2 linked regions of the Sus scrofa genome follow. The protein of the gene in region 1 interacts with the protein of each later gene in a biochemical or structural test. Links are inferred from orthologs where the notes say so. Each region holds a gene or a part of one and is shown on either strand. Other genes may lie near its edges. The genes, in order: ARL2 and UNC119.

Evidence for each region.
Region 2: the proteins of ARL2 (region 1) and UNC119 form a complex in vitro, tested with the Homo sapiens proteins (2 studies listed by BioGRID and IntAct, with this or other methods). The link is inferred for Sus scrofa from reciprocal best matches to the Homo sapiens genes ARL2 and UNC119.

The regions. Positions count from the first base shown.
Region 1 is NC_010444.4:7,153,656-7,163,094, forward strand, and holds the end of ARL2 (ADP-ribosylation factor-like protein 2), read right to left. Parts: coding exon 9,306-9,439; intron 6,768-9,305; coding exon 6,687-6,767; intron 5,580-6,686; exon of another isoform or gene 5,194-5,579; intron 4,770-5,193; coding exon 4,635-4,769; 3' UTR 4,308-4,634; downstream 1-4,307. Other genes in the region: SNX15 (sorting nexin-15), read right to left, coding at 1,315-1,413. UniProt on the Homo sapiens protein: Small GTP-binding protein which cycles between an inactive GDP-bound and an active GTP-bound form, and the rate of cycling is regulated by guanine nucleotide exchange factors (GEF) and GTPase-activating proteins (GAP).
Region 2 is NC_010454.4:44,801,518-44,811,657, reverse strand, and holds the start of UNC119 (protein unc-119 homolog A), read left to right. Parts: upstream 1-4,323; 5' UTR 4,324-4,416; coding exon 4,417-4,636; intron 4,637-8,385; coding exon 8,386-8,499; intron 8,500-8,982; coding exon 8,983-9,085; intron 9,086-9,252; coding exon 9,253-9,425; intron 9,426-9,673; coding exon 9,674-9,786; 3' UTR 9,787-10,140. Other genes in the region: PIGS (GPI transamidase component PIG-S), read left to right, coding at 155-255, 1,436-1,646, 2,246-2,521. UniProt on the Homo sapiens protein: Involved in synaptic functions in photoreceptor cells, the signal transduction in immune cells as a Src family kinase activator, endosome recycling, the uptake of bacteria and endocytosis, protein trafficking in sensory neurons and as lipid-binding chaperone with specificity for a diverse subset of myristoylated proteins.

The sequences.
Region 1 (9,439 bases):
TTTTTTTTTTTTTTTTTTTTTTTTCTTTTTGTCTTTTGTTGTTGTTGCTATTTCTTGGGCCGCTCCCGCGGCATATGGAGGTTCCCAGGCTAGGGGTTGAATCGGAGCTGTAGCCACCGGCCTACGCCAGAGCCACAGCAACGCGGGATCCGAGCCGCGTCTGCGACCTACACCACAGCTCACGGCAACTCCGGATCCTTAACCCACTGAGCAAGGGCAGGGACCGAACCCGCAACTTCATGGTTCCTAGTCGGATTCGTTAACCACTGCGCCACGATGGGAACTCCGGGAAAGCTCATTTTAAACATCTAGGATAGGATTCTGCATTTAAACCACTTTGAGGAACATTTAGGATAGAATTCTGCATTTAAACCACTTTCATGGCTCAGTGGTTAATGAATCCGACTAGGAACCCTGAGGTTGCAGGTTCGATGTGGCTGTGGTGTAGGTCGGCAGCTCCATCTCCAATTCGACCCCTAGCCTGGGAACCTCCATATGCCTCAGGAGCGGCCCTAGAAAAGGCAAAAAGACAAAACAACAACAAAAAACCCACTTTGAAAGTCTTTACGTTTTTGCTTCACTTTAATAGTTACTAATGCATCAGTTTAACCAGCCTACTGCAAAATTGTGAAAGTATATTAAAAAAATTTACAGTGAAAAATCTTTCCCAATTAGGTTTTGTATATGGCTCTACAGATATCGTTATATTGTTGCTATTTTAAATTTTCATGATTTCTTCCATGTCTCTCTATAATATATTTATAACGTTGGCACTGCTTCGTATGTCAACTTTAGTCTGTATATACTGACTTCTCGTTATGACTGTGAAGAGGAGACTTACTCCTTAATTTCTTTTGAACTGTATGAGCTTTTAGTCCTACACAAGCATTATTTTTTGAAAAATTAAAAGTAATTCAACTCCTTAGAGGGCTTTTATGTAAATATCAAACAAACCAATAGACAGAACTTACTCCAAGAGATTGGAGAACTAACCAATATTTGGGTTGAGCCAGAGTTTTCATATTAACTTAAAGAAATTAAGTTTGATTGCCAGACGCCGAGCGTAGGGAGTGGGCACCCACACCTCACCGGCTGGGTACTGCTGTCACGCCCTTTTAAGAGGGCAGCGCCCTTCTATGGCCCCACTCCTAGACGGCTAAAGAAGTAAACGAAGGCTCTTACCGCCACCGTCTCTTAAAGGGGAAATTCATTTCCAGCGTCTAAAATGGGAGCTTGCAGCAGCGTCTCGCCTTAAGGTAAAACACGGCCCCCTCTTGTTAAAAGGGTAAAAGTCCCCGCTGGGCCCCATCTCACCTGCGCGGTGACTTTGTACTCGGTGTAGCCCTTGGGGTGGGTCCGGGGGTCGGAGACTGTGTAGTGCCGCAGGAAGTCGTCCTTCGCCTGGCGGGACATGGCAAACGAGCTGGAGCGGAGCTGCCCGCCGCCCTCCGCCTCCTCCGCGCCGCCCCCGCCCCTCCAGGTCAGTCTCCACGAGCCAACGCCTCTCCTGGGCTTGCGCCCTTCATCCTTTTGCCCAGGGACCTGGTCGCAAGTGACAGTGCAGTTCTCGGCCGGGGCGCTCGGCCAAGGGAGCGTCTAAAAAGTTCTCGGTTGTTGGTGAAGCATGAACGAGACAATTTGAGAGTAAGCATTAGGATGGGTGGATAACTAGGTTTTGCCTAGACATGAGCCTACCCCATGTGAGCTGTAAACCCTCATCGCAGTCTCTCTAAATGACTTATTTCATCCATCCACCTGACTTTTACTGTATTCAATATATGCCAGACAGTGTCAAATTATTTCTCCCTCCCTAGGATTCACGAAATTCATGTTTTCTGGAAGGAGGGGGGGGGTGTTGAAACGATGGTGTCATGGGCTCTTACTGTCTGCATGAGTTTCCCTTAGCCCATGAGTTTCCCTTAGCCCATGAGTTTCCCTTGAGCCTCAGTTTCTCATCTCTAGAATGGGGAGGTTTATAATAGAATCTACTGCAGCAGATGTTTCTTTATCCTTTGGTGGCCTGTCCGGCATTCACCGCTGCCTCCTGCTGTTAGCATCTTAGCACCAGATCTTTGTTTGGAGGTGGTTCACTGGTGTGTGCAGCCCGTGGGCCTGGTAGCCCAGAATCCAAAGGTGGAGGCTGCTTTCCTTATCCCAGGTCCCAGGGCAGGGTGGTGGGCTCTCTCCTGAAGCCTTAAATCTTGAGTGAGGGACAGAATGCATGGCAAGGGGATTGAATTGTTCCCTGAGTACAGTGTTGGCTGTAGGTTTGGCTGTCCAGCCTTTTGGAGCACTCTGTTTTACAAGCCTAGATATCTGACTTCCATCAAGATGCTATGAGTTCCCAGTGTCCTTCCTCGAAAGGTTCTTTCTTTCTTCTTTTCTTTTTTTTTTTGCTTTTTTTTTTTTTTTTTGCTTTTTAGGGCCACACCCACAACATATGGAGGTTCCCAGGCTAGGGGTTGAATTGGAGCTATAGCTGCAGGCCTACATCACAGCCACAGCCACAGCAATGCCAGATGTGAGCTGTGTCTGCAACCTACACCACAGCTCACGGCAACGCTGGATCCTTAACCCACTGAGCGAGGCCAGGGATTGAACCCACAACCTCATGGCTCCTAGTCAGATTTGTTTCCGCCGCACCATGACGGGAACTCCCGGAGAAAATTTCTTTCTGTGGAAAGCAGTCGTAATTTGTATCTGGCAAACCATGCAAGACCCTGCCTGATGCTACCACCCCCAGGCTGTGAAGCTTAAATGAGGGAGCATGGGTACAGCGCTCATGGCCACTCTCTTTACTGGAACTCAGATGAGTGGGTGCTGTAACTCCAGAAAGAAACACAATGCAAACTCCCAAGTCAGACTCTTAAGATCATGGAAACAAGTTAGTTCTTTCTTTCTTCTTTTCTTTTTTTCCTTTTTTTTTTTTTTTTTTTTGCTTTTTAGGGCCACACCCACAACATATGGAGGTTCCCAGGCTAGGGGTCCAATCAGAGCTACATCTGCCTGCCTACGCCACAGCCACAGCAACACTGCATCCAAGCCGCCTCTGCGACCTACACCACTGCTCACAGCAACGCCAGATCCTTAACCCACTGAGCGAGACCAGGGATCAAACCTGCATCCTCATGGATGCTAGTCAGGTTCATTAAGCACTGAGCCACGACAGGGACTCCAGGGCAGGTGGTTCTATAGTTCCGCACTGGAAAGCTTATGTTCTAAGTTTGTCCGCTCAACACCTCCCTTCTTCCACCCTAACAGAGCCCAAATTTTGCATAGGCCCCTCCCCTTCAGGAAAGGGTCCTGGTTTAAGAGTAAATTGGTCATTCTTCCTCTTTTCCCTTGAGAAAACTGCCCTTCCCTCATAGACACATTAGGCTCCTTGCACCTGGCATTGAGTTTCGAGAAAAGAAACAAAAACTAAAACCAGCAGGGTTTAGTGGCTAAGCGTGCTGGGTCCAAATCCTGGGCCCTTGCTTCCTAGCTGAATAGGGTTTTTTTGTTTTTGTCTTTTTAGGGCCTACCTGTGGCATACAGAAGTTCCCAGGCTAGGGGTCCGATCAGAGCTGTAGCCCCTGGCCTACACCACAGCCACAGCCACGGCAGATCTGAGTTGCGTCTGTGACCTACATACACCACAGTTCACGGCAATGCATGGATCCTTAACCCAGTGAGGCCAGGGATGGAACCTGTGTCTCGTGGATGCTTGTCGGGTTCATTACCATTGAGCCACAGTGGGAACGCCCTAGGTGGATAGTTTTGGGTAAGTCACGTCTCCTCCCGGAGGCTCAGTTGCTTTATGAATGGGGACACTGAGAATCTGTCCTGTTTGGGGCTGTTCTTCAGTGTGATGGCAAGTGACAAATCTTCAGAGGGAACCCTGCAGAGAAAGCACCACTGGCAGGACCACAGCAGGGGGCCCTGTGAAAACTTCCATCTGCTCTGCCACCTGGATGGGGGTCCTGGGGTCCCCCTGGTTCCCATGCTCTCCCAGTCTGGTTCCTGCTTCAGAAATGCCCTTGAGCCTTGAGGGAAGGCCCCTTCGCAGCTCTGCTCTTCGTTAGCTTGCTCTACTTGATGCCTGCTCCTCCTTCCTGCATCGGAGTCCGTCCCCCCCGCTCCCCGCCTCCCTGCTCCCCCCTCACCCCGTCTCCCAGCAGCCCTGTCCTGCACTTTTCTAACTCTCTGCAGTCCCTTTCATACAGCGAGTTCACCTCGGACTGCAATTACCTTTTCTGTCCTCTGCTGGCCAATGAACTCCAGGCGGTCTCTAGGGTTGTTGAATCAACAAATGACTCAGCCAGGAATGGGGGCGAGGAACACTTTATTCTCACAGCTGAGCAAAAGACGAGGCCCACAGCCTTGACAGCAGCAGACGCAGCCCCCTCCCAGCCCCAGCCCTCTCTTCTTGGTATAGTTGCTGCTGCCGCAGGCCAAGTTAGGAGCCAGGGTGACAGCCAGGGCGGGAGCCGGCTGGCCCCGGAGCAGCAGTGGGCAGCAGTAGCAGCAGCAGGTTATGGAGTGGGGCAGGGGTGTTAGTGGGGCTGGCTGACTCCCATGCCCGCGTGGATGGTGCCTGGCGAGGGCCTGGTGGGGGCGCCTGGACCGTGAGGTGAGGGGGCATCTGGAGTGGCTCAGTCGGCCATGAAGATGCGGCTGGAGATGTCATCCAGGAGCCAGTCGATGCCAGGCAACAGGTTCTCCCCGGTGACGGCACTGCAGCCCTGGATGCACCAGTGGTGGCTGCGGATGGAGTCCAGCTCCAGGGCCTAGAAGGGAGGAAGGTGACAGAGGGCCCCGGTGTCCACAGGGCCCGACCCCCCTCAGCCCCTTTCCCCTCCTGGCCCAGGGGAAATCCACACCTCCCTCCAGGGCCTGCTGTGGGAGGCTTCCCCTGGCCCCTGGTGAAGATGTGTCACACACACCCCCGCACCCCGCTTCCGCTCCACCGTCCAGAGCACCTGAGCTCTCTGTACACGACAGCCAGACCAGCACGGCAACAAGGGCTCCCGATGTGGTGCTCTGGGCCCTACAGTATCCTCTCACCCATTCCCCCCCAAGGCCCCATGAGCCAGGGATTGTACTGGCCATTTTACTGAGGAGGAAACTTCAGAGAGGTTAAGCAACCTCCTAAAGTCACACAGCTAGTAAGTGGCAGAACCCAGTTTCTAACCCCACTCTTTCTCGTTCTAGCCTTCCAGTCTACAATCAGACTTAAGATGCACTCTGACAATGGGAGGTCCCAAGAAGGAACACGTGCTGCCAAATACTAACCAGGAGAATTTGGGAGGGGCCGAGAGAAGGAAGGAGGTGACCAACCTCCCAGGATCCTTGGCGCTGGAATCCATCTTGGCTGAGGGATGCATGTGCCACCAGAAAAGGACCCCAGCTCAGACCAAATTATGGGCCAAACAAGATGACTGGCCAGAGACAACCCAGACACTAACCTCATTACCATAAAACCTGAGGCTTTGAGCCACATGGCAGCAAATCCGATTCCCTTACCCTACTGTTCTCTGCCCAGGGAGCCTCTTCCCAATAAAGCTTTTTGCTTTGTCAAAAAAAAAAAAAAAAAAAAAGAGTTCCCATCCTGGTTCAGTGGCAACGAATCTGACTAGCATCCATGAGGATGCAGGTTCAATCTCTGGCCTCGCTCAGTGGGTTAAGGATCTGGTGTCACTATGAGCTGTGGTGTAGGTCGAAGGCTCGGCTCAGATCCTGAGTAGCTGTGGCTGTGGTGTAGACCAGCGGCTACAGCTCTGATTCGACCCCTAGCCTGGGAAAACTCCATATGCCACGGGTGCGGCCCTAAAAAGACAAAATATAAAAATAAAAAACAAATAGGAGTTCCCGTTGTGGCTCAGTGGTTAACAAATCTGACTAGGAGCCATGAGGTTGCGGGTTCGATCCCTGCCCTTGCTCAGTGGGTTAAGGATCTGGCGTTGCCGTGAGCTGTGGTGTAGGTTGCAGAGGTGGCTTGGATCGTGCGTTGCTGTGGTTGTGGCATAGGCCGGCGGCTACAGCTCCGATTAGACCCCTAGCCTGGGAACCTCCATATGCCGCAGAAGCAAAAAAAAAAAAAAAAGACAAAAATAAAAAACAAATAAAAGTGACTCAAAGACATTTAAAAAAAGTAAAGAGAGAGAGTTAAGATACAATCTGGAGTCACACCGGCCTGTGTTTAAATCCTGGCTTGTCTGCTTACCCTGTGACCCTGGGCCAGTTACCTTTCTAAGCCTGCCTCACTGTGTGTAGAATGATGTAATAGTTCCTACCTTGTGAGGTTGCTGTGCGAACTAAATGAGTTAATCCGTGCACAGCCTAGCACGTGGAAGCTACTGTTCCCTTGTGGAATAATCTATTTTCAGGTCTGCCTGCCCCTGGGCTGTGGGCTCAACTCTCTTACTAATCACTGACTCCCCAATACCCTGAGTAGGTCCTGCCACACGGCACGGCTAATACATGCTTATTCATTTATTTACTTATTTACTTATTGGCTGCACCTGTGGCATGTGGAAGTTCTCAGGACAGGGATCGAACCCACCCTCGCCATACCCATAACCAGAGTCACATCAGTGACAACGCTTGATCCTCAACCTGCTGAGCTGCCGGGGAACTCCCAACAAATGCTTCTTAAATTAACAAGGAAATGCATGCCCCTTCCTTCCTCCAAGGCCTGCACTCACCTCGCGAATCGCCTTAGAGGACAGTGCTCCGGGCAGGTCCTGCTTGTTGGCAAAGATGAGGAGGGTGGCACCAGCCAGGCGCTGGGGAAAGAGAAATAGAGGGGTGTGTGTGTGGGGGGGCTTCAGAGGGCAGCCTGGCCCCTCCACTGTTCACCCAGGGCAAGGTCCCATAGCAGTGGGAAAGACACAGGCGGGGTGGGGGTGGGGGAGATGGCCTTTGTGTCCAGCCATTTACGGGGTGGAGGGAGCCCCAGGCTGGGCTAGGCCCTTGGTTCCAGCCCAGTCACCACCCAGTGGGCACTGCTCTCCTCCGAGCCTCAGACCCTCTTCTGTAAACAGGGAGGGGGTGACGGACAGACGCTCCAGAGCCCTCCAGGTCTAGCCTGCTCCGCTCTGATGACCTGAGGTGCATGAAGAATGCGACTGTCCCAGGGGCTCTGGGGTCTGTTGGAAATGACCTTCCCTCTTCCAAGTTCACACAGCTCTCCAAACGGTCCCATTACCCTGACAAGCCTCACTCTCTGCCTGTGATTCCAGTTATTTCCATATGTGTTTGGACTGGGAGTCCCTCCACATGGGTGGTGGATACAGCCTTAAAAAGAGCCTCGAGGAGTTGCCATTGTGGCTCAGTGGGTTAAGAACCCGACTAGGATCCATGAGGATGCGCGTTAGATCCCTGGCCTCCCGCAGTGGGTGAAGGATCCGGGGTTGCTGCAAGCTGTGGCATCAGTCGAGAAGGCGCCTCGGATCCTGCGTGGCGTAGGCTGGCAACTGCAACGCTGATTCGACCCCTAGCCTGGGAACTTCCATATGCTGCAGGTGTAGCCAGAAGAAAAAAAAAAAAAAAAGAAAAGAAAAGAAAAAGGGCCTCGGGGTCCCTGAGCATTGGACAGCCAGGATCTCACTGGACCTGCTCAACACCCGTTTAGGCCTGGGGTCCCTGCATGACTACAGACAGCTCTCTCATGTACTCTTAAAAGTGTCCTGGTTTTTAACTAAATGCAGTGTAGGAAACTGGATCAAACCTGAAACAGAGAAAGGACATTAGTGGGAAAACTGGTGAAATCCTAATAAAACCTAGAATTCAGTTAGTAGTAACTTACCAATGTTAATTTCTTAGATTTTGTTTGTTGTTGCTTTTTTTTTTTTTTTTTGTCTTTTTAGGGCCGCACCCGTGGCATACGGAGGTTCCCAGGCTAGGGGATCTAATTGGACCTGTAGCCGCCTGCTTACACCACAGCCACAGCAGTGCCAGATCCAAGCTGCGTCTGTGACCTGCACCACAACTCACGGCAACGCCAGAGCCTTAACCCACTGAGTGGGGCCAGGGATCAAACCTGCAACCTCATGGTTCCTAGTCAGATTTTCGTTTCCGCTGCACCACGACAGGAACACCTAATTTCTTAGTTTTGACAAAGGCATGGTGGTCCCGGAAGATGTTAAATTCCATGGTAAATGAAGGGGAGCTGGCTGAAGGATATATGGGGTGTCTCTTCACTATCTTTACAACTTTTCTGTACATCTAAAATCTTATTTAAAGAAGAGCATTTTGGGGAGTTCCAATTGTGGCTCAGTGGTTAACGAACCCAACTTGTATCCATGAGGATATGGGTTTGATCCCTGGCCTTGTTCAGTGGATTAAGGATCCAGCGTTGCCACAAGCTGTGGTGTAGGTTGAAGACTCAGCTCAGATCTGGCGTGGCTGTGGCTGTGGTGTAGGCCAGCAGCTGCCGCTCTGATGCAACCCCTAGCAGAACTTCCATATGCCTCAGGTGCAGCCCTAAAAAGAAAAAGAAAAAGAAAGAAAGAAAGCCCCTAAATTATTGTCTTTTTTTTTTTTTTTTTTTGGTCTTTTTGCCATTTCTTGGGCCACTCCCGCGGCATATGGAGGTTCCCAGGCTAGGGGTCGAATCGGAGCTATAGCCGCCAGCCTACGCCAGAGCCACAGCAACGCAAGATCTGAGCCTCGTCTGTGACCTACACCACAGCTCATGGCAACGCCGAATCCTTAACCCACTGAGCGAGGCCAGGGATCGAACCGGCAACCTCATGGTTCCTAGTCAGATTCGTTAACCACTGCGCTACAATAGGAACTCCGAAAGCCCCTAAATTATTAAAAAAAAAAAAATAAAGAACATGTGGCCCAGTCAATAGATTTTAAGATCACCATCATTATAATGCCCATCTTAGACAGGAGGCAGTGGAGGTTCAGAGACGTGCCCACCTCGAGGTCACACAGCAGAGTCCGACTCCTGAGCCAGGCTCCACTGCCTCCCCAAGCTTGACACACTGGCCTCAAGTCATCCTCCCTAAAGCCCAATTCAAGGCATAGAAACTGCAGCTCAGGGTGTTGAAGCAGTGACACTGCAGGATGTGAACCTGTGTCTCAGTCCCCAGCGTGTCCCGCCCATGCCCAGTGGGCCTCCGTGGACCACGTGTACAGCTTGTCTCTGCCTCCCCAAGGGTGCTGGACACATGGTGAGGCCTCAGAGAAGGAATAGATCCCACCCTGGGTGTCCCTCTGGGTCTACGGACCCCACAAGGAATCTGCCCAAAGTACTGGGCCCCAGTCACTGGGGGAAGCCCGGCTCCCCGGGCTCGGCCAGGCGTCCTGCCCACCTCCTCCACCAGCAGGCTCTGGAGCTCCCGCTGACAGTCCTGCATGCGCTGGCGGTCGGCGCTGTCCACCACCCAGATGAGGCCGTCGGTGCTCTCGAAGTAGTTCCGCCAGTAGGACCGCAGGGACTTCTGGC
Region 2 (10,140 bases), on another chromosome or scaffold:
GCTCCCATTGGCAGGTATTCCAAACGTATTAAGTTTGTAATTTCTGAAGGGCACAGAACATGTCTTCCCTTTCGCTCACGGCGTCCAGAGTGTCTAGGGCAGAGCCATGCATGGTCCTGGCGTGATGCTGAGGCCACCTCCTTTCCCCCTGCAGATATACAATGTGGACCCCAAAGCCTACAATGCCTCGGAGCTGCCGGTGAGAGTTGAGGTGGACATGGTGCGAGTGATGGAGGTGTTCCTGGCTCAGCTGCGGTGAGGTCCTGGGGGTTCACCTAGGGGTGCGGCCCCTGAGTCTGATCACAGTCTGCTGGGCTGACTGGAACGAACCTTCACCTTGACTCTGCCTAGAGCCCCAAGGAAACCAAGAAAGGCTTCCAAGGATTGATGGCTTCATCCTTCTCCTAAGAAGGGCTTGTTGCCGACATAAGCTGTCCCTGGGCTGTGATTAGGGATGTTTAAGAAAACAGCTGTTGAATTTTCCGTTGTGGCTCAGCGGGTCAAGAATCTGACTAAGGAGTTCCTGTTGTGGCTCAGCAGTTAACGAACTCGACTAGGGTCCATGAGGATGCGGGTTTGATCCCTGGCCTTGCTCAGTGGGTTAAGGATCCAGCATTGCCACCAGCTGCAGTGTAGGTCACAGGTGCAGCTTGAATCCAGTGTTTCTGTTGCTGTGGCTATGATGTAGGTGGGCAGCTGTAGCTCCCGATTGGACTCCTAGCCCAGGAACTTCCATATGCTACAGGTGCAGCCCTAAAAAAAAGAAACAAAAAAAAAGAAAAGAAAAATAGCTGTTAATTCTTGGGCTAACAGATCATTAATAGTGGTTTCCTGACACCCTACATTGAGGATTCTAAGGCTGTGCCTGGGCTCATCAGGAAAGAGGATTCTGATTGATTAGCAATGTCTGCCATGGGTGTAGGAATAGAGAGGCGTGGCACGTATGCCTTGTCAGGTGGTCCTGGATCATCCCTTAACTAAGGTGCAGGGGCCTCATTTGTCCAAAGAGAGATAGACGGGAGGGGGTGAAATTAAATATTTTAGCCATGGACCCTAAGACCCCAAGGCAGTGCTGCAACCCCTGTCCTGTGGCTCTGGGTAAGACTGAAATTCTTAGTACCTTTTTTTGTGTGTGTCTTTTTTTTAGGGCTGCACCCAGAACATATGGAAGTTCCCAGGGGTTGAATCAGTGCTGCAGCTGCCAGCCTATACCCACAGCCACAGCAATGTAGGATTTCAGCTGCATCTGCAACCTACATCACATCTCATGACAGTGCCGGATCCTTAACCCACTGAGCAGGACCAGGGATTGAACGCACATCCTCATGGACACTAGACGGGCCACAGAGGGAACTCCTATCCTCAGAATCTTAACCGTCTTTTTCCACCTTCTAGTCTCAGACCCTTTGACCTTCTTTGCTCGCTGTTCCTACAGGTTGCTCTTTGGGATTGCTCAGCCCCAGGTGCCTCCAAAATGCCTGTTTTCAGGGCCTAAGAGTGAAGGGATAATGACCTGGGAGCTAGACCGGCTGCTCTGGGCTCGGTCCGTGGAGAACCTGGCCACAGCCACCACCACTCTGACTTCTCTGGCCCAGCTTCTAGGCAAGATCAGCAATATTGTCATCAAGGACGATGTGGCATCTGAGGTAAGCAGGCAGGGGATGGATTCTGTGACCTAGGACGAGTAGCCACCAGGACCAGGGTGTGGTGAAACCAGAGAGCCATCGAGGTTCAGGAAGTGTATGGGCATGCCATCCTTGAGTGCCCGGGGTTTCCTCTAGAGGGCAGTGCCAACTCCCTGGTAGGAATCCAGATGGGGTGTAAGGAGTTAAACAGGCTGTAAGAAAATACACCCTGCCCTTTTTTTTTTTTTTAATTTTAGGGCCACACCCACGGCATGTGGAAGTTCCCAGGCCAGGGGCGGAATCAGCTGTAACTGCCGGCCTATGCCACAGCCACAGCAACATCATATCCGAGCCGTGTCCGTGACCTGCACCATAGCTCACGGCAGTGCCGGATCCTTAACCCACTGAGCAGGGCCAGGGATCGAACTGGCATCCTCATGGATGCGAGTCAGATTGTTTCTGATGATCCGCGACGGGAACTCGCACCTTACCCTTTTTATACTGGCCTCTGCATATCCTGGGCAAACTCTAGGCAGACGGAAGACCCAGTGAGGCCCTCCCCTGCCCTCCCCACCAACTGCTGCCTAGGACTTTTTGGTAACCCCCTACTCCCTTCCTAGGTGTACAGGGCCGTGGCTGCAGTCCAGAAGGCAGCGGAGGAGTTGGCCTCTGGACACCTGGCCTCTGCCTTTGCTGCCAGCCAGGAGGCTGTGACGTCCTCAGAGCGTGCCTTTTTTGATCCCTCGCTGCTCCACCTCCTCTATTTCCCTGATGACCAGAAGTTTGCCATCTACATCCCGCTCTTCCTGCCTATGGCTGTGCCCATCCTTTTGTCCCTGTTCAAGATCTTCCTGGAGACTCGCAAGTCCTGGAAGAAGCCTGAGAAGATAGACTGAGCAGGGCAGCATCTCAGTAGGAAGCCTTCCTTTTTGGCCAGCATGGGAGCTGTTAGGCTGAGAGGCAGATAAGTGGGGCCTGCCACGAATGACTTGTCTCCAGCCTGCTCTGTCGCCCCTGCAACGGTTGAAGTCTAACACTCCAAGAGGGTTTCATCTCTCCTTTCCCTCCCATTCATCTGGCTCAGGGCTCTCCCACTCTTCAAGCCCTCCAACCCCCTCCTCAAAAGACACATCATTGGTGTCTCCTTACCGGTCTTGAACTTGAGGGCCCTTTTCTCTCTCCCTCTGGGCAGGGGCAGCTTGTGCCTCTGCCCTGTTCCCCACAGTCCTCTTGCACTGAGAGGGAGCACTGGGGGAAAGCCCTGGGTTGGATTCTAGGGCTCTGCCCTCCAGGCCCTCAGGGAGAGCCCTAGCACTGCTCCCATGGAAAGGGCTGGGCTCCTGTCACCTCTGGGGCCTTCTCCCTTACTCCCCTTGCTCCAGGCTGGCTACACCTGTTGGGTGCAGCCTATTGCTGTGTGTGGCAGAGGTTGCCTTTATCTTTACCTAGAGGCAGTATGGTGCGGTGGGGAAAATTCCGGACTTGGGATCAAACACATCTGAATTCAAACCCTTGCTTCTGCCCTTATCATCTGGGGAGCTTTGAGTAGGCCACTTAATCCTCCCTGAGCCTCAGTTTTTCATTTAAAAATAGCACTGATACCTCCCTTACAAGGTGGTTGTGAGTATTAAATGGATGAGCATGTGAAAGTGTCTGGCATATTCTAGGCTCTCAATAAACGTTGGTTGAATGTGAATTGGAATTATATGAAGTATGAGTGTAACTTTCATTCATTTGTGTTTTAAGTAATGATTTCCTGATGCCTGTCCTCCTGGGCTCACTGGTCCACTTTGCTTCTACTGGCTATGTGCCCTTCCTGCCTCCCTATCTTGGAGGGCCCTGTGGTGGCTAGAATCTTGTAGGCTATTGTCCCTCAGTGTGTCCTGGCTTGTCTAGCAGGGGGTTTGGGAGAGAATAGCTTTTACTGGTGTAAGCCCTCAGATACTAACTAATTCATAAATTCAAAAATAAAATAAAATTGACCCTTTAAGAATGCAGGGGTTGGGACACCCACCTTCCGGTGCATTCAGAATCAGAGTATAATTTATCATTGGCCCTGGGTATTAGCAGTTTCGCATCTGCAGTTTCACCCAACCTTCCATTGTGTAGTATTTTTTATTGGAAAAAAGTGCACATATAAGTGGCCCTACACACTTCAAACTCATGTCGTTCAAGGGCCAGCTGTATTGAGCACAGGCTGCAGTGGGCATTATGCAAGGTGCTGAGTGGTATTTTAGAGAACGGATAGGACCTCTGCTTTTAAGTAATTGGTCTTTAAGGGGGAAAGAGTGAACAAACGAAACTAATTTCAGATAATGCTTTAGAAAGAAAAAATAGGCTGATCAGATAGTGACTGGGGGTTGGTATTGGTACTTGAGATTGTGAGTCTGAGAGGGCCTCTGAGCAGAGGTATTTGAGCTGAGACTAGAAGGACAAGAGGAGGCCTTCTGGGGGAAGAGCATCCCAGGCAAAGACCCTGAGGCGGGAACTCTTTTGAGGGGCGGAGAGAAGGGCGGAGCGGCTGGAGTACAGCGAGTAAGGAGAAGGTAGCCTTAAAATTCCTACAGATAAAAGTGGGAACAAAAATGAGAGAACCTGGGAGCGAGCCTCAACCCTGCCCGCGTGAGTAGCTCAGGTGGGCGGGCGGTGGGCGGGGCCAGTTCTGGGCCCACCCCGGGGGCGGGGCGGTACCTGGGGCCCCGGCGGGGGCGGGGCTGCGGACGCTCCCCCTTTGCTCCAGCCGGCGCAGGCAGCCGCGGCGGCAGCAGGCGAGCCGCGGCCCCGCGAGGCCATGAAGGTGAAGAAGGGCGGCGGCGGGGCCGGGACGGCGGCGGAGCCCGCTTCAGGGGCCTCGGGCCCAAGCGTGGAGCCCAAGCTGGAGCCGCAGGCGGAATCCGGGTCCGGGTCCGAGTCGGAGCCGGAGGCAGGCTCGGGGCCCAGGCCGGGGCCGCTGCAGAGGAAGCAGCCGATCGGGCCGGAGGACGTGCTGGGGCTGCAGCGGATCACGGGCGGTGAGCACCAAGCGAGGGAACGCCGCCGGCAGGCGGGAGCTAGAGAGGGCCCTCGAGGCGCGCGGAGCCCGGGCCCCCGCCCCCTTTCCCTCCCTCCCCTGCCTCCCCTCCCCCACCCGGGTCTCCCTGGCCGGTGTCCCCTATCCTTCTGCCTCTGGGCCTGAGATCTCCATGTACCTCCTTCCTTTGATATCTCTCTGTGCCCCCTTCTTTCTGTAGAGATTTCTTTCCACCCGACTCTTTCCTTTTTGAAGAGTCTATCCCCCTTTTCCAAGGGTGGAGGTGGGCAGCAGCTGCTACTGTGACCCCTTCCCCACAGTCCTCAGAACCCTGTGAAGATTTTCTCTGCAATAACGAGGAGGGGGGCTAAGGGCAGTCTGTCCTCAGTCTCCACCCTGGAGGCTTGGTGGAGGCAGAGTTACTTGGGTGGTATCAAAACCCTCCTGTCTCCCTGATCGTTAATGCCCTCACCCTGGACACCCCAGGAAGTCTGAAGCCATCCTCCTACCCCGGAAAGAACCTGAAGAGGAAACTTCAGTGGGTTGGCTCTGGGCTCTCTCAAGGGAGTGGGTTAATGAATGCCCCCCCCCCCCCCCGCGCCACCCCACGCAGCCTGGACTAGGGCCTGACCTCTTCTGGGAGGCCAAGTCTCCACTGTGGCTGAGTTTCTGAGCTCGACCTGCCTAAGCTGAACTTCCAGCTTTGTCGTGTAATTGGCTGTATGATCTTGGGCTCATAACTTCACCTCTCTGCACATATTCACCTGTAAAATGGGGATAATAACTCCTACCTTACAGAGCTATTGTGAAAATAAATCCTCTGATTTTGCACCGTGCCTGGCGTTGTGCATGCCCTGTAAATAGGGCTCTTTTATCAATAGTACTGAGGGCCCCACAGGACTGCTCATAGCTGCTGCTGAGAGGCAGACAACTGGGCATTCAGGGCAGGGGAGGGGGTCACCAGAGGCAGGCAACAAGGACCAGGAAGTCTCATGGCAGAGGCAGTGGTTGAGCGTCAAAGAACACAGCATTTGGAGAGGCAGTGGCTTTCTACCTCGACCTCATTGATCAGTAACCCTACCCTGGCTCCCTCTGTGACAGTAGCTCTTGGGGCCTCTCGGTGGGGGTGGGGGGCAAATGCTGGAGTGGACCTTAGCTCTGGAGCTGCAGGAACGGCAGAGCCCGGGGCTTCCAGTCAGAGCTGTGAAGGGGACCTGACAGCAGGTCTAGGCTTGTGCATCTGGGTCCCTGGGGGACCAGCCTCTTCCTCCTCGCTAAGCCAGGCAGCCATTCTTGGCTGGGCCCCCAGAGCCGCTGAGCTGCCTTGCCTGAGCCGGCGCTGGTAGAGGGAAGGTACCTGGACTAGTCTGATGTTGGTGCCAGTTGGACTGTCATTGGCAACAGCAGCATTTAGGGTTCAGGTTAGTCTGGGGCAGAACTTCTTTTTTTTTTTTTTTTTTTTTTTTTTGCTTTTCATGGCCACATCCACAGCATATGGAAGTTCCCAGGCTAGGGGTCGAATCGGAGCTGGAGCCACAGCAATGCAGGATCCGAGCCGTGTCTTCGACCTACGCACCACAGCTCATGGCCATGCTGGATCCTTAACCCACGGAGCGAGGCCAGGGATCGAGCCCGCATCCTCATGGATATTAGTCAGATTCATCTCCAATATGCCACAATGGGAACTCCTGGGGCAGAAGTTCTTTACTGAGGGTCTAACTTGTCCAGGTCCTAGGTAACTTTAGAGGTTATTTTGCAGCTATGGGGGCTTCCAGCCCATGTACATTTGTCTCGGAATCGGGAAGAAATTCATAGCTCTTTGAGATGTGACACCTGTGGGGGATGAGTAGAGGAGAGGGTTTCACAGGAGCCCTTTCCTTTGCAGAAGTTGAGAACAGGGCTCCAGGACTCTCCCCCCACGGCCTCTTCTGACCCTAATCACACAGGTCTGAGGTTTGCTCTGCCCGGATTACCCAGCGCTGAATCCAGCTTAGGAAGCTATTTGTGGCCGAGAGGAAGGGAGCAGTTGTGTTCTGAACCCTTGGCTACGCTGCCCCTTATCTGGGCTGACCCCGGGTCCCTGGCCTTATCCTTCTCTGGTAGAGGGAGGGAGTGGATGTGGTGTCCTGAACCATGGGCATCCTTGTTTCTCACTTCCTCTAAGGACAGAGGGGTTGAAAGGTTGAGTTTGCAGCAGGAGAGACTGAGGCCAGACTGCAAGGCGTTCTCAAATGAGAGGAGAGGTCCCAGAAGTTAGAAAACGGGGGACGAAGGAGGGCTTCATGGGGAGCTGGGACTTGGGCCACTAGGATGCCGTTCCCACTTTTGTCATATCCTCTTCCTATGCCCTACAGCTTCCTTCTGCAGCTCTGGATTAATGCTTACTTTCTGTGAAAATAAAGTGTGTACAGGGTGAGGTAGGTAGGAGCTGCCTACTTCCATTCTGCCCCCTATCCTCTCCCCACCATGGGCTGTGGTGGACAAGCTGTTGCTCAGGCCCCTCCATAAGCCTTCTAGTCTTTGCTGGACCCCATCGTGCCAGGTGGCTACCTGGAGGGCTTCCTGGAGGGGGCTGTCGCAGGCTTGGGGAAGAGAGAATAATTTTACATTCACTTCCTCTTCCTGCCCCAGAGGAATGGGAGGTGGCCCAGGGGCCTAGAGGGTGATTTCCGGGCCTCTATGGGGAGGATGTGATGCTGGGCAGGGTGACAGCATCAGAGCCCCTGCTGCACCTCTCTGCTCCTTCCTATTTGCTCCAGGACCTCCCTGAGTGCTTGCAGTTGTTGCTGCAAGAGCAGTGAGGGTTGGATCAGGCCCTGCTGTTCCTGAGCTTCCTCAAGTGGACCCACCACTGTTCCTGCTTCCTCTTCTGGGCCCGAGGACTCCCCTTACCCCGTGCACAACCCTGCTGCACCTGCCACACCCTCTTCCTGGCCTTGTGGGGGTGGCTCGAGTCAGAACACAGAGAACATGGCTCCCTGTGTTCTCTAAGACCTCCTCCCGCTGGAAGATCAACAGGGGATAGGAGCAATTCCCACCCCCGCCCCCCGTAGTCCGGGCTCTGGGCTTGAGTCAGCAGAGCTTTGGCTAAGCTGCTTAAGGGAGCTGGGTTTGTGTAAGCCTCTTATGGGCAGAGGAGGGGCCCGTGGGGGGCCGGGGATGAGGAGGAACAGAGAAAGGGGTGTTCGTCTGCCCTAGCACTACCCAGGTCAGAGAAAGTCCTTGCCTGACACACTTAGAGGTGGCGCCAGGGGCGGCTGTGGGGTGGGGACGGCGGTATCCTATCCTGGGGTAGAGCTGTGTCTCCCGCCTTAGAGTGAGGTACCCCAAAGCAGGGCTGTATCTTCCCTCTCATGCTGGGTGGTGGTGGGGGGTGTTGCCCCATCAGATTAGAGACTCATTTGACTGAAAGTCATCAAGCCAGGGCTGGCAAAGCAGAGGCTGAAATAAGGGCTCTCAACTCCCCGGTGGGAGGGGAAGTGTGGGGGAGGTGGCTTTGACCTCCACCCTGCTTCTCCCTGATCCCAGAGGCTACTCAAATAGAACCATTTGTCCCCATTAGATCCTGATTGCAGAACTATGACTCCCCCACACTGGGCTCCCCCAGGGCAGGGGCTCAATTCTCTCTGGAAGACAGTGACCTTAGGCATCAGAGAAATTGGTGACTAGTTCAGGGTCCTATGAAAACTGAGCGGGCAGCAGGGGCTTCTGGGCAGGCCCTCTCCTTGCTCAGTTGCCCATCTCCCCTAGACTACCTGTGCTCCCCCGAGGAGAATATCTACAAGATCGACTTTGTCAGGTTCAAGATTCGGGACATGGATTCAGGCACTGTCCTTTTTGAAATCAAGAAGCCCCCAGCCTCAGGTGAGTGGATTGGCTGGGCCATCAACAGAGGGAGGTGGACAGGGGCCATGAAGTGGGCTTGCCCAGGGACTCCTCAGGCCACCAAGTCAGAGCAGAGCTGGGACGTGGGCCCCAGCCTTCTCAGGAGTCACCAGGCAGGGGGCGCTCTGCCTGAGGCTGGGCCTCTTCTTTTCCTTTTCTTGGGTTGATGGGGTTGGACATCCTGGGAGGGCTGCCCTGCCTCTTCAGTCTTTGCCAGCCTGCCCTCTGCAGGCCTCCCTGGGAACTGCAGTCCCAGAGGTTCCAGGTCTTTTTATTTCTTGTGGCTCTGGGGACCTCAGTTGAAATTGGTGACCTGCTGACCTAGAACCCTTAGGTGAAAGCATTCGGCCACTGGTCTGAACCCTCAGTGTGCGTTAGGATCTCCTGGGGAGTTTAGATAAATTCAGACAGATGGGGGCCCCAGCTTGAAGCCCACTGAGCCCCAGCTGGGATACATTACAGAGAGGTTGCCCATCAACCCACGGGACCTGGACCCCAATGCTGGGCGCTTTGTCCGCTACCAGTTCACGCCTGCCTTCCTCCGTCTGAGGCAGGTGGGAGCCACGTGAGTCACGGGGCTGGGGTGAGGGGTGGGGGCGGGGTGAGGGTGGGGGTGAGGGCGGGAGTGAGCCCTTCCTGAGTTCTTACCGAGCCTCTCTTGGGGTGGTCTCTCCCGAGCCAGGCTGGCTGTTGGGGCGGCCCAGCTCAGCCCTGCCCCCCTCTGTCACTCAGGGTGGAGTTCACAGTGGGAGACAAGCCTGTCAACAACTTCCGCATGATTGAGAGGCACTACTTCCGCAACCAGCTGCTCAAAAGCTTTGACTTCCACTTTGGTTTCTGCATCCCCAGCAGCAAGAACACCTGCGAGCACATCTACGACTTCCCCCCGCTCTCTGAGGAGCTGAGTGCGTGTGCAGGGCCCTGGGGGGTAGGGGGGGAGCAAGGCTGGCGGGAAGCTCAGAGACACCACGCTGGGGTCTGAGCCCCTTTCTTTCCACCTGAGGTCTCCTGTGTCTGGCCACCATTCGTATGTCACCTAGAGGGAAACTGAGGCTCCCAGAGCCTGGGGGAACTCTTTGTTCAGCTTGTCCTAGTGCCCTAGTCCTGAAGCCCCTGCTGATTTTTGCCCCAACTGGCTGGGCCTCTCTTGCAGTCAACGAGATGATCCGTCACCCGTATGAAACACAGTCTGACAGCTTCTACTTCGTGGATGACCGGCTGGTGATGCACAACAAAGCAGACTATTCCTACAGCGGGACGCCCTGACCCCAAACCGCCCCTACCCCAGGAGGGTCCTGGGCCCCAGCTGTGCCCACCCCGATACTCACCTCTCCACCCCAGGTCTTCTGCCTGGGGAGTGTTTCAGGAGCCCTGGACCCTGAGTCAGTGTTGGGAGGGAGGGTGCCTGATGTCCCCAGTTCAAGTCCGTGAAGCCCAGGGGGCCTGGCACGTGGGGTGGGTGTAGGGGGGCTATTTGCCTCCGTGTCCAGCAAGGCCTCCCGTGGGAAGTGGAGTAGCCACGACTTCCGGTCAGCCTAGCTGGGCCTCTTGGGCCCAAGTTTCAGAATAGTGTTCCCCTATCCAGGCTTTGACTAGGTCGGGCAGGAGCCCATGCCCTGT